Linked DNA regions of Pelodiscus sinensis. The protein of the gene in region 1 interacts with the protein of each later gene in a biochemical or structural test. Links are inferred from orthologs where the notes say so. Each region holds a gene or a part of one and is shown in the gene's direction. Other genes may lie near its edges.

Evidence for each region. The genes of interacting proteins can lie anywhere in the genome.
Region 2: of the proteins of MARK3 (region 1) and KSR1, one has a biochemical effect on the other in vitro, tested with the Homo sapiens proteins (2 studies listed by BioGRID). The link is inferred for Pelodiscus sinensis from reciprocal best matches to the Homo sapiens genes MARK3 and KSR1.

Annotation. Positions count from the first base shown.
Region 1 is NC_134714.1:20,612,564-20,619,543, reverse strand, and holds the start of MARK3 (MAP/microtubule affinity-regulating kinase 3), read left to right. Parts: upstream 1-3,960; 5' UTR 3,961-4,679; coding exon 4,680-4,730; intron 4,731-6,980. UniProt on the Homo sapiens protein: Serine/threonine-protein kinase. Involved in the specific phosphorylation of microtubule-associated proteins for MAP2 and MAP4. Phosphorylates the microtubule-associated protein MAPT/TAU. Phosphorylates CDC25C on 'Ser-216'.
Region 2 is NC_134731.1:10,839,962-10,846,996, forward strand, and holds the start of KSR1 (kinase suppressor of Ras 1), read left to right. Parts: upstream 1-4,013; 5' UTR 4,014-6,140; exon of another isoform or gene 6,141-6,996; 5' UTR 6,997-7,035.

The DNA of each region.
Region 1 (6,980 bases):
TGCAGGGCCATGCTGCCAGCGCCGTGGGGGTGCAGAGTGGCGCTATCTGTGCCAATGCCATAGAGGAGGAGCAGGGCCATGCTGCCAGCGCCGTGGGGGTGCAGAGCGGCGCTATCTGTGCCAATGCCATAGGGGAAGAGCAGGGCCATGCTGCCAGCGCCGTGGGGGTGCAGGGCGGCGCTATCTGTGCCAATGCCATAGAGGAGGTGCAGGGCCATGCTGCCAGCGCCGTGGGGGTGCAGGGCGGCGCTACCTGTGCCAATGCCATAGAGGGGTGCAGAGCCATGCTGCCAGCGCCGTGGGGGTGCAGGGCGGCGCTATCTGTGCCAATGCCATAGAGGAGGTGCAGGGCCATGCTGCCAGCGCTGTGGGGGTGCAGAGCGGCACTATCTGTGCCAATGCCATAGAGGGGTGCAGGGCCATGCTGCCAGCGCCGTGGGGGTGCAGAGCGGCGCTATCTGTGCCAATGCCATAGAGGAGGAACAGGGCCATGCTGCCAGCGCCGTGGGGGTGCAGAGCGGCACTATCTGTGCCAATGCCATAGAGGAGGAGCAGGGCCATGCTGCCAGCGCCGTGGGGGTGCAGAGCGGCGCTATCTGTGCCAATGCCATAGAGGAAGAGCAGGGCCATGCTGCCAGCGCCGTGAGGGTGCAAGGCGGCACTATCTGTGCCAATGCCATAGAGGGGTGCAGGGCCATGTTGCCAGCGCCGTGGGGGTGCAGAGCGGTGCTATCTGTGCCAATGCCATAGAGGAAGAGCAGGGCCATGCTGCCAGCGCCGTGCGGGTGCAGGGCGGCACTATCTGTGCCAATGCCATAGAGGAGGAGCAGGGCCATGCTGCCAGCGCCGTGAGGGTGCAGGGCGGCACTATCTGTGCCAATGCCATAGAGGGGTGCAGGGCCATGCTGCCAGCGCCGTGGGGGTGCAGAGCGGTGCTATCTGTGCCAATGCCATAGAGGAAGAGCAGGGCCATGCTGCCAGCGCCGTGCGGGTGCAGGGCGGCACTATCTGTGCCAATGCCATAGAGGAGGAGCAGGGCCATGCTGCCAGCGCCGTGGGGGTGCAGGGCGGCGCTATCTCTGCCAATGCCATAGAGGAGGAGCAGGGCCATGCTGCCAGCGCCGTGGGGATGCAGGGCAGTGCTATCTGTGCCAATGCCATAGAGGGGGTGCAGGGCCATGCTGCCAGTGCCGTGGGGGTGCAGGGCGGCGCTATCCGTGCCAATGCCATAGAGGAGGTGCAGGGCCATGCTGCCAGCGCCGTGGGGGTGCAGAGCGGCGCTATCTGTGCCAATGCCATAGAGGGGTGCAGGGCCATGCTGCCAGCGCCATGGGGGTGCAGGCGGTGCTATCTGTGCTAATGCCATAGAGGGGTGCAGGGCCATGCTGCCATCGCCGTGGGGGTGCAGGGCGGTGCTATCTGTGCCAATGTCATAGAGGGGTGCAGGGCCATGCTGCCAGCGCCGTGGGGGTGCAGGGCGGCGCTATCTGTGCCAATGCCCAGCAGGGCCCAAAAGCAAACAATTCCGCTGTGTAGGAAAGATAGAAAATATGGCAAAAGACCAGCTTGGCTTAACAAGGAGATCTTGCATGATCTCAAAATAAAAAAGGAGTCATATAAAAAATGGAAACTAGGACAACTAACAAAGGATGAATATAGGCAAGCAACACGGGAATGCAGGGGCAAGATTAGAAAGGCAAAGGCACAAAATGAGATCAAACTAGCTACAGGCATAAAGGGAAACAAGAAGACCTTTTATAAATACATTAAAAGCAAGAGGAAGACCAAGGACAGGGTAGGCCCACTGCTTAGTGAGGAGGGAGAAGCAGTAACAGGAAACTTGGAAATGGCGAAGATGCTCAATGACTTCTTTGTTTCGGTCTTCACCGAGAAGTCTGGAGGTGTGCCTAACGTAGTGAATACAAGCAGAGAGAGGGTAAGTTTAGAAGATAGGATACACAGAGAACAAGTTAAAAATCACTTAGGAAAGTTAGATGTCAGCAAGTCACCAGGTCCTGATGAAATGCATCCCAGGATACTCAAGGAGCTGATAGAGGAGGTATCTGAGCCTTTAGCTATGATCTTTGAAAAATCATGGCAGACAGGGGAGATTCCAGAAGACTGGAAAAGGGCAAATATTGTGCCCATCTATAAAAAGGGGAATAAGAACAATCCAGGAAACTACAGACTGGTCAGTTTAACGTCTGTCCCAGGGAAGATAATGGAGCAGGTAATTAAGGAAATCATATGCAAACACTTGAAAGGTAATAAAGTGATAGGGAATAGCCAGCATGGGTTTATGAAGAACAAGTCATGCCAAACTAATCTGATAGCTTTCTTTGATAAGATAACGAGCCTTGTGGATAAGGGAGAAGCGGTGGATGTCATATACCTAGACTTTAGTAAGGCATTTGATACGGTCTCGCATGATATTCTTATTGATAAACTAGGCAAATATAACTTAGATAGGGCCACGATAAGGTGGGTGCATAATTGGCTGGATAACCGTAGTCAGAGAGTTGTTGTTAACGGTTCTAAATCCTGCTGGAAAGGGATAGCAAGTGGAGTTCCTCAAGGGTCTGTTTTGGGACCCGTACTGTTCAATATCTTCATCAATGATGTAGATATTGGGATAGAGAGTACGCTTATTAAGTTTGCAGATGATACCAAACTGGGTGGGGTTGCAACTTCTTTGGAGGATAGGGACATAATTCAAAATGACCTTAGCAAGTTAGAGAAATGGTCAGAGGTAAACAGGATGAGGTTTAATAAAGAGAAATGCAAAGTGCTCCACTTAGGAAGGAACAATCAGTTCCATACATACAAGATGGGAAGCGACTGTCTAGGAAGGAGCATGGCGGAAAGGGATCTAGGGGTCATAGTGGACCACAAGTTGAATATGAGTCAACAGTGTGATGCTGTTGCAAAAAAAGCAAATATGATTTTAGGTTGTATCAACAGGTGTGTTGTAAGCAAAACTCGTGAAGTCATTCTGCCGCTCTACTCTGCACTAGTTAGGCCTCAGCTGGAGTACTGTGTCCAGTTCTGGGCGCTACATTTCAAGAAAGATGTGGAGAAATTGGAAAGGGTACAGAGAAGAGCGACAAGAATGATTAAAGGTTTAGAGAACATGACCTATGAAGCCAGGCTTCATGAACTGGGCTTGTTTAGTTTGGAAAAAAGAAGATTAAGGGGGGATATGATAGCGGTTTTCAAATATCTAAAAGGGAGGAGAGAAGGAGAAAGGAGAAAATGTGTTCTTCTTGGTTTCTGAGGACAGGAAAAGGAGTAATGGGCTTAAAGTGCAGCAGGGGAGGTTTAGATTGGACATTAGGAAAAAATTCCTAACTGTCAGGGTGGTCAAATATTGGAATAAATTGCCAAGGGAGGTGGTGGAATCTCCCTCTCTGGAGATATTTAAGAACAGGTTAGATAGACATCTGTCAGGGATGGTGTAGACGGAGCGTGGTCCTGCCTTGAGGGCGGGGGGCTGGACTCGATGACCTCTTGAGGTCCCTTCCAGTCCTATTATTCTATGATTCTATGCTGCCAGCGCCGTGGGGGTGCAGAGTGGCGCTATCTGTGCCAATGCCATAGAGGGGTGCAGGGCCATGCTGCCAGCGCCGTGGGGGTGCAGAGCGGCGCTATCTGTGCCCATGACATAGAGGGGGAGCAGGGCCATGCTGCAGTGCCATGGGGGGGGAGGGTGCAGGGCGGCGCTGTCTGTGCCAATGCTACATGTAGCGGCGCAAGGCGGTGGCAATGCCGCGTGAGGAGAGCAGGGCGGTGCTACTGGTGCCAGCTCCAGGCCCGGAGCCTTGGCGGGCCCGCAGGGCAGCTGCCTGGTGCCGGTGCCACAGCTACGCCGGGGCGCTCAGTCCCCTCCCCTAGCAACAAGCAGTCGGCGCCGGCCGGCTGCCCAGCCCAGCACCGGGGCAGGGGGCGGGCTCTTCCGGTTCAAGTCGGAGCGAAGGAAGCCGGGCGGCCATCTTGGATCCTCCGTCCCGGAGCGGGCGGCGTTGAGGCAGCGGCGGAGTGGGGGCGGGGGCTGCCGGAGCCGGCCGCGGGGCTGCTGACACCCGGCTCGGAAGGCGCAGGGGAGCCCGGGCCAGCCGGGCGGCGGCGGCGGGTGGGAGAGGCCCAGCATGGCGGCGAAGGCTCGGTGAAGCGGGGCTGGGGAGGGGGGGGAGAGGCGAGGAGAAGGGAGAGGGAAGCGCTTCGGAGCGGGCCCGCCTGGCTGCCAGGGCTCGGAGCTGGCTGCGGAGAGGCGGCTTGTTTTCCTGGCCGGGTTCTGCGGCGCCCCGTTGCCTCCTCCGGGCTGTTTCCTCGCCTCCCCTCCCCCCCGACCGCTGCGCTCTACGGGGATTCCCCCCCCGCCACCCTCACCCGTCCGCTTCTGCGAGCCGGGCTCCTGAGCTGGCTGTAGGATGAGCGCCGAGGACTCCCAGGGGGAGACGCTGCTCCTTCGCCAGGCTGGAATATAGCTCAGAAGTGGGGGGGTGGCCGTGGAAATAAGCAGCCCCCCACCCCGTCCCTTGATGGTGGCCCTTCGTAACCACTGTCTTGCAGCTGATTGACAGAGCTTTTTTGGGGGTGGGTGGGTTAGGTTTTTGTTGGGGGGGAGGGGTGTTTTATTTTGCTGTCGCAAGTAGCCGGTGCTCCAGCACGAGCGAATTAAAATGTCCACGAGAACTCCATTGCCTACGGTGAATGAACGCGACACTGAGAATGTAAGTAACCCGCGTGGTGTGTATTGGGGGAGTGGGCGCTGGGGTGGCCAGACCTGCCTGTCACCTATGGAACGTGTGTGCTGTAATGCTTTGGTGGCCGCGTCGCTCGTGTGCTTGAGTGTGACTGCTGTACACAAAGGATGGCATGCATAGAGAGGGGTGGGCGTATGGTGTACAGAGACAAAAATGTCTCCCAAGAAAAACTGCCAGAGAAAAATGTGCATTTGTTTTTAGCAGACATTGGCGCTCTCTTTGCGAACGTAAACCATAGGTATAATTTGAATGAAACATACTGTACTGAATCAAACTATGTAATTTAAAATCCCCAAAGTGGAGCTTGGCATTGTGGGTATGTATTATGTTCCTGCCGTTGTGACACGGGTTCGAGGCACTGTTCTGGCAGCTGGGTTTTGTTAAACAGATGTTTCACAGGTGTGTGAAGAGTAGTGTAGCTATGAGAGCTATCATTGAGGTTCTAGGCCTGCTTATTAAATTACTTAGATTACGGTTTAACTAAGTGTATCTTAAGAGCTTGGTTTGCCAATAGTAATGCTGAAAGTAATCTAAAACACTGCAGTGTTTTAATGGTGTATCTTTACCGTGCAAATGCAGTACTACCTCATATTCGTGTTGCTGAATTTGGGAATAGTAATCCATATACCTTTATATTTTAACACCATACTGCTTATAAACATCAATTAATTGCTAAAACAAGCAGATAAAGCAGTTGGTAAACAGAGAACAATTCTGTGCTGGCCGGAGAGGACTAGGTGACCTAGATTATATATCTTTCCATCTCTAGTTTGAATGATTATTAACAGTTAGTATAATAGCTTTATTTTCACTTGTTCAGATGGTATTGAAAGATTCTCTTTTCTGAAATCTGCAAAGTCAGAAAGTCCTCCCTTGATTAAAGGGTAGCATTTGACAATGAATGTTAAACATGTAAATAAAACTGCATGTTTTAGTAGTTTAACTTAAACAGTTATATTGTTAGCTTTTTATTTGAAGTATTTAATATGCAAATCAACTGTATGCAGAAACATAATATAACCAAACCCCAAACTTAGATAAACCCTCTCTAAGTAAGAACCTTATTTTTACCTCAAAGTAATCATGTGTAAAAGGACAAATTTTAGGAAAAAATGGTCTTTGTATGTGAAAAGGTGTGCAGATGAGTTGTCTGTTTATTCAGCTCTGAATCACAAATAAGCAAAATCAGTGAGCATTATTAGTTTCTTTCATTATAGATATAACCAGATATCTATTAGAAACCATTCCTGGGTCTGAGTGAAAGTGATTGGTGAGAGACACCTGTTTTGTGTTGAAATAAATAAAAGGAAAATTTAGGCTGAATATTAAGAAAACTTCCAAGTTAGAGCACGAACAAGGGAAATTGGTGGAAACCCTGTTAGTGAAGACATTTTAAAACAAGACCAGACAAAGGATTAAAAAACGTGCTGCATAGAACAGTCACTGAATTGGCAGGGATTTGGATTTTATGTTAATAGTCATCTCTCACTTCTATGATCTTGATTTGCTTTAGCCCTTGATACAACCTGCGGGCTGACGGCTGTATTGAACAAAAAGTTAACTAAGCATATTTTGTTGCAGAATGTCATTCATCTTCAGCCTAATGGCCAAAGCTGCATGGTGGAAGAAAATAATTAAAAATGAAAATTTTAGTGGCCTTTTGTATTTATCTGAACTTCCAAAGTGCTTAAACCGGTGATGGGCAGTCTGTGGGTCACAGGCAACTCACTCAAGTTCCACCTGAGGCCCATGCACTCCTTGTCTACCATCCATGCCCCTTTCGCACACTGGAGTCCCACACTTCCTACTCCTCCCCTTCCCTCCCAGTACATTTGGATTGCCATTAGTTCACTGATGTTCCTTCCCCTCCCTCCCAGAGCATGAACAGCCAGAAATAGCTGATTTGCAGCATTTGAGTTCTCTGTGTGTGGGGAGGATGGAGCACTCAGAGTGCTAGGAGAGAGGAGGGAAGAGTAGGAAGTGCAGGACTCCAATGCCTCAGTGTGCAAGAGGCATGGGAGAAGGGGACAGAAAGGGGTGTTTGAGCCGCAGGTGGAACTCCAGTAGACCATGGGCCGCAGGTTGTGCACCACTGCAGCTCAGTGAGATCGAGGGCCTCTCATGCAACCCAATCACTAGTGTTGGTTGCACAACACAGGTCTAAACAGATCCCTCTGTAATGTTTTGGCCAGTCAATGTGTTTCTGCCTGGCTTGGA
Region 2 (7,035 bases), on another chromosome or scaffold:
CCCCCCCCCCCCCCATCTTTAATAAGTTAACCAGTTAAACAATACACTTAACCAATTCAGTGGAATGGTTACATCCCTCCTAGGGCTCTAATAATACTCACCTGCCTCCTAAGGGGATGATGGAATTTAGTGGAGATCTTCAGCGGAGAGGCATTAGAGAAGGAAGTATTGTCCCTTCTGAGAGCTCACGTTACGAAAGACTCGACAGGTTCAGTCCCCTCCAGCCTACCCAGCAGATACTGGTGCTGATGAAATGAACGTTACTAGAATGTGTCAAAATGCTGGAATGTGAGGAGGAGCACTGCCCTTCTAACAGAGGCAGTTATGCCTTGATACTCTGGAGTGCCTGGTTTGTGATACGCTACAGACAGTGGCTAAGCACTACTGACGCATGGGGACAAGTGACAGGCAGAGACAACTTTTTTAAACATAATTTTTCTGGTTGGACACGACTCCCCCTTTCCCCCTCCCCAAGCCGTGGATGTGGGTTGGGGGGCTGTAATCTTTGATACAATCATCATTCAGACACATTTCTGCCTCTCTGATGTTAGGCCAGCTTTACAATGGCATCGAGTCATGTATAAATGTAGATAAATGCCTAGTGGGATTTACAGAAGTGACTAAGGGTGCATCTAGACTGCAGGGCTTAGCTCAATTTGCGCGGCTTATTTCGAGTTATCTCAATTGCATAGCTTATACCGAAACTGGGAGTGTCTCCACAGCACTTATTTCAAAATAAAACACTCTTCCTCCGACTTCCCTTGCTCCTCGTAAAATGAGGGTTACCGGAGTTGGAGTAAAGTCCTCCAGCTTGACAGTATGTCAACATTATTTCAAAGGAAGTGCCTGCTGTGTAGAGGCGGACTAAGTTATTTCGAGATAACGCTACTTCGAAATAACGTCGCTGTGCACACGTACCCTATGTGAATTAGGTGCCTAACCGCCAAAGACTTTCAATGTGAGTTAGACACCTAACTGACTTAACTCCTTTCAACAGTTTATGGCAGGTAGGTGCCTGTCTCAGTGGCACACTTCTTTAAATCCCACCAGGCAACTCTCTGCATCTCAGGTACCTAAAGAACTTGTAAATCTAGCCCCCAGCTGGTCATGCACCTTCTAGGAGGCAGGAGATTTATTTAGGTTTCGTAGCTCCTGGCTACCATTAGGAAAAGGGAACAGTTTTTGTTGCCGTCATTGGCAAGGAGTTTGAGCTGGCTGTTTAGAAGACTCTGAGGTATTGAACTAGTGGTCTGCCCAAGGAGAACCTCCTATTGTCCATAAGTCTCGTTGTGCTGATTTTCTGTCCATTGCTAACACTGAGACTGTTGCCGAACAGGTGGGGAGTTAAAAGAAGACCTGTTGTGGAATAATTCCGACGTGCGCCGAGAGAGAACCTCTGCTCACCCTGCAGAACCCCCCTGCCCACCAGGGCCTGTGTGGACTTCTAGTCTCCTGCATCTGTCGAAGGGCAACAGCCAGCAGGCCCGCTCTGTGTCGGTGTCCGCTATCGCTTCTTCGGAGTCTCTCGCCTCGAGCCATGGACCTTCTAACTATGCAGATAACTTCTTGGAACCGTTAGCGTACCCGAGCCACAGTGGCCACGTGGTATTTAGGACTCCTCACAGCATCACCATCACGCCGCCAACGACACCTCAGTTAAAAACGCGGCACAAATTGAAACCCCCACGGACTCCCCCTCCGCCTAGCCGGAAGGTTTTTCAGCTGCTACCAAACTTTCCAACCCTCACAAGAAGCAAGTCCCACGAATCACAGCTGGGCAACAGAATAGATGAAGTCCCTCCTCTAAAGTAAGCCTGGGATTTTCCAACTTCTTCTTAGTGGAGTGGGAATTGGGGGTGGGGAGGGTTCTTTTACACTCTGGGCTCTTTTTTGGGAGAGGTGTGGGGGGAGGGAGGGCTGCATGCATCGTTCCAGTTCCCATTTCTCAGATTACAAAATAACCAGGAAGTTTTGGAGACCACCTAGACCTGTTGTAAAGTAGAACGTAGCCGTCTGTTTTGATGAAGGCTCGCTGCTGAAACGTATGCTTGGTAGAAACACTCTGCCACTGTTACATGAGGCTAACAGTCTAGTAGGCCCAGTCCATGACACCTTTGTACCACTGTCACTATGGGCAGTGGGTGAAGGCCCAGGTGGGGAAGGCAAGCCCCAGCCCTTCCCTTTTTACCCATGCCACACCCCTTCTCCTGAGACTATGCCCCTTCGCCCCCCAGTCAAGCCTTGCTCAACGCCAGCTGTGGATGGGGGCTGCCGTGCCACGTGGCCCCAGCCCCTCCCAGCCAGCTGGGCAGCGTAGGAAATTCTGGGAAGGCAATGCCTTCCCTTGCTTACATTACCTGCCACCCATGGCCGTCCCATCCACGCTCTCAAATCAAACTGGGTTGGATCACTATGGACTCAGATTTGACAGAGGGTGGTGACTGGTTGTGGTGCTACTCTTCCCTTGGAATCCATGTTGGTGAACTCCCTTTCCCAACATTCATGGGCGTTTGCACTTATGACATTTTTCAGATCACACCTACTCTAGATTTAGATTTAGATAGCTTGCTGTTACTAGGGATACCAGTGGTCTTTTTTTGTGCAAGAGCCCCCTGCCCGATTCCATGTATAGCAACTTGATACACAGTGTAGTTGGCTATTGTGTCTTTCGCTCCTTGTTCTAAGCTGGGTTAAGTATTGCTGAGGCTTTTAAACAGCTGCATCTCTGTGACGGAAGAAATGAGATCTGGATGTAGTTCTGTGTATCCATTTAGGGCTTGCGAGATGCTTTGTAGGTATTTTGGGATGAAAGATGTTCTGTTAATGCAGCATTTGCTTATTTTTGGAAATGAGCATGAGCCAAGCACCCTGGTAAGTCAGAGTAGTCCTGGCTTTTGGGGAAGCTCAGATCAGGAGCCAAAGTTTGCAACTAGCATTAAACCAATGCCACTTAGCTGGCCCTTCTGCCCCTTTGAAGGAGTTGTCCAGCTAGGACCTGGCTTTACTGAAGGCTTGTACAAAGGAGTTGTTTGTTTATGAGCTGCTTTAGTGGTGAGTAAGGCAGTTGCACACCCTTTTATATGAAAGGGAGGGAAGGAAAGTTACCATAGTTAGTTATGGTTACCGATGACTATGGAAGAGTTAAGAACAAAACCACATGTGACAAATACAAATTCTGCTTCGCTTTCAAACCGAAGTGCGAATGAAGCGTGTGCTGGATTAGAGAGGTTCATCCTCTCTACAAACTGATTTCCGCAATGAGGGAGAGGTATTCCCTTGAGTCGAAAAGAGGTGTAGCTGGCTACAGATCTTTTGCTTTAAATCTAGTGGTGAAATCCTGGTCTTACTGAAGTCCGTGATAAAACTGCTGACTTCCGGAGGGCCCAAAGTCTGTTTGGGTGGCCAGGGTAGCACTTCATTGTTGTTGAGATTTTAATGGATCAAAATGGCCCTGCTCATCCTCCACATGAATTTGTATAGCTCCATGTGCTCTCTTTGTTTGGCGTGGAATGTATAAATGATAGAATTTACACCTCAGCAGCAGGGAGGGGGAGGGCTTTCAACAGAGCCTAAGGGATTTAGACTCCCACATGATTTGAATACCTAACTCCCTGAAATTCCTTTGACAATCCCGGTCATTGACTATCCTCCACTTTCACATAGTGTGTGCGTGCGCACGGGGATCTCTGTCCAGTGAATTATATCATTCATGTACACAATAAGGTGTACAAAATATTGCATATGCAAGTGCAAAGATGCCTTTGGGGGGAAAAACAGAGGCCATGTTTTGAAAATAGAGCCTTAAAGGTTGTAATGAGGGCTCTGCACTTAAGAGAGAAGTTTAGCTCATCTGTCACATGATCATTTGTGTTGAAAATTGTTTTGTTTTTTTTTTCTTTTTGTCTTCTAGGCTTGGTAAGAAACAGATTTTTTGGGGGGCAGTCTTCGCATCGTTGCCTGCGGGGAAAAGAATGTCTTATCATTGTGGCACCAGTATGGTCCTGTTTTTATGCTAACTTTTTGGAAGTCCTCCATGTCGAGCAGTTGTTAACGTTGGCAGACATTTCCTAGCATGAGCGCTGCAAGATCAGTCCTCATTTGTTAACACGAATAGAGCAACAAAAAGAAACCTTGATACTGTAGGGATTGGACCTGCATTGAAGGTGGTTTTGTTTAAAATTTCTCCCGTCTTTCCACACTCTTGGTATCAACATATGTTGGTATTTAAAAGCTCTAAGTACACAACCGACCATTCAGCATCAGTACATACCATTACCAGATCCTTCTATGTAGCACAAAGTTTCTTAAATTTCACATAGCCTTGGCTTTAGGGATCATGCAATGCCTGTATCTGCAACATGGGGCTTTGTGAGTAAAATGTAATGGTTGCTTAAGGCTTAGCTGTGCAAGGTGCAGAGTATGCCTGCTCTAACCCAGCAAAACACGGGCTCATGCTTAGCTTTATGCACACAGTCAGTCCCACTGGAGTCAACAGGGCTAGTCAGATGCTTAAAATGAAACATAGGCTGATGTTTTTCAGCATTGGGAGCAGTGAACTCAGCAGCTGTCACAATCAAACTCCTAGCACTTGAACTGTGGTATGCTATGGTGTGACAGCAGTGGTCGGACAATACACGTCTGCCATGCACCACTGCCTTCATCATAAAGCTAAAACAGAAAACCCCTTGTCCTTTAAAATGTGTTAGCTTTACTGTAAAAAATAAAACTAAGACTTTCATGTGCACTATATGGGTGGGTAGGTATTTATAAAGCATAACTGCTTTAAAAGAGAACCCTAGAAGTTACTTTCCCAAAAATAAATGGTTGCTAGTTCATAGCGGCTTCAGCTCGTGCCCAGATTGCTTTTCTTGGCGCAGCCTGGCCCTAGGTCTTCAGATGCTACAGGCAGGTGACATTGGTCAGTGGCCCCTTCCTAAGGGACATAGCTGCAAAAGGTAGGTGTTTGCAGAACCGGGGAGGACAGAGGGAGGGAATTTTCATTCACCGTCCCGTAGGTGTTTCCCAGGAAATCCACTTCACATGCGTTGTCCCAAAAGTCCATTCATATCCGCTGCACTGTTCGGTATAGATCTTTCATCGACCAGGCCACAATTATTTAATCTGATGATGCCAAAGATACCGACGCTGAATTTAAGGAGGCGTTTCAGGGATCTGGCAGGAACTAATTGCCATATCAATCACACAAGCTGCTTTTTCTAAAATCATGGCTATCCATCAAGCACGGTCTGTAAAATTGGACAACATAGGTACTGTAGGGTCCATCTAAGCAGCCCGCAGCAGCAAGCCTCCCAGCCCAGATCAGTAGACCACAGCTAGTGGGGCTAATGCTCTACAACTAGCTGTGCACACAGGGCTCTGGCACTGTGGCTAGGGCTGCAGTTTGGGCTGTTTTTTAAGCACTAGTGCATGTTCCGCAGCCCCAGTCTCTGGACCCAGGCTGGGAGACTTGCTGCCAGCTGGGTAGAGAGAGGGTGGAACATTTCTGTGATGTATCAATAAAGGATCTGCTGCCATCTAGGGACAGAATGGGAAATGGGTGTTCAGAAGTATTGGCACGATGCATCGGGAGCTGTGCATTCGGTGTGAGGCCCATCTGTGGGGTACTGAAATATCAGCATCCTGGAAAAGCTGGCAGAATAGAAATAAAACTCTAGTGGAAGCAGCATTGCCTACTAGGTAGAGCACTGGACTGGGACTTGTGAAACAAAGCCTGGTTTCCCTGGCTCTGCCACTGGCCAGCTGAATGACCTTGGGCAAGGCACTTCGCCTCTCTGTGGTCAGTGCCCTAACTGCAAGATGGGGATAATGATTCTGATCTCCTCTGTAAAGTCCTTAGTGATGGACTGGTGCAAAGCCTACCTAAGAGCTGGGCGGTAATAGTCATAACCAAGCATTATTTGGTGGTCCCCTTCCAGATCAAGGCTGCCCTCCTAAGCAGGCATTTGAAGCTGGTTTAAAATTGGGACTCCCCTGCCCCGCCCCCGAAACCCTGTTTTTGTTCCTTTTGTTTTCTTAATAACATTTTCTTGCTACTATAGGGCTAGACTTGTGTAACCTTTATTGCTGCTGGAGACATAATAAGACTACTTGTGTGAGTGAGTCGGTGCTCCTCAGAGCAAGTAAGCATTGCCCAGACCTACCCCATAGTACTCAACGGGACAGGATGTATTTCAGCCTTGTGTTTGATTTGCCTTAAAATGCTAGCAAGCTGATGGGAAATGCGAACCATCCACCAAGCCGTGCAAATATTTATTAGCATGTCTGATGGGGCCTCCTTTAAGGGGTGCTGCATTTGTAAGATGGGTGGACTTTCCCCATCTCTAGTCGTGATCTTGTAATAATAATTTGTTTTCCCCTACTAATAAGTTCTATAAATCTGCACACTCCTACTAAATGTAGAGCAGGAAACCATTTACAGCTTATATTGGTTCCACACACGATGAAAAGAGCAGCTTCTGGGCAATGTTCCTGCTCATCTTTTTCAATCCACGCACGGATGTGTTTTTTTTTATCCGTGTGCAGAATAAATGTATGTGCACTGAAGCGTGTGTGAATGTGCACTACCAACAGAAACAAAACCTCACTTTGGGTGCTCTGCTGATCAGCTAGGTGGCATTGGAATCTCCTGAGTGGCCTCATGGTTACCCAGCTGACAGGGAACATTGATCCTGGGGCATGTGAGCTATTGCCATGATTTGAAACACTAAGGCCTAAGGGCAAGCGACTTAGTTTCTCAGTTCCCATTGAACTCAATAGCTGCTGGGGGCCTGACGAGGGGGGGGAGGAGGTGCATTACTGATCTCTTGTGCAAACACAGGTGTAGTTGGGCTCTCTTGGTGGCATTTGCTGCTCATTGTTCCCTTAGAAATGAGATTTTCATGTGCAAATTTCCCTTTAGATTTCTGAAATGCTCACAAGTTAAGGGCGGTTTGGTTTTTTTTGTGGCTAACATGTAATTTGTTCTCCCCACATCAGATCTCCCCCAGGCATCCCCTCAGGCAGGACGAAGAGACA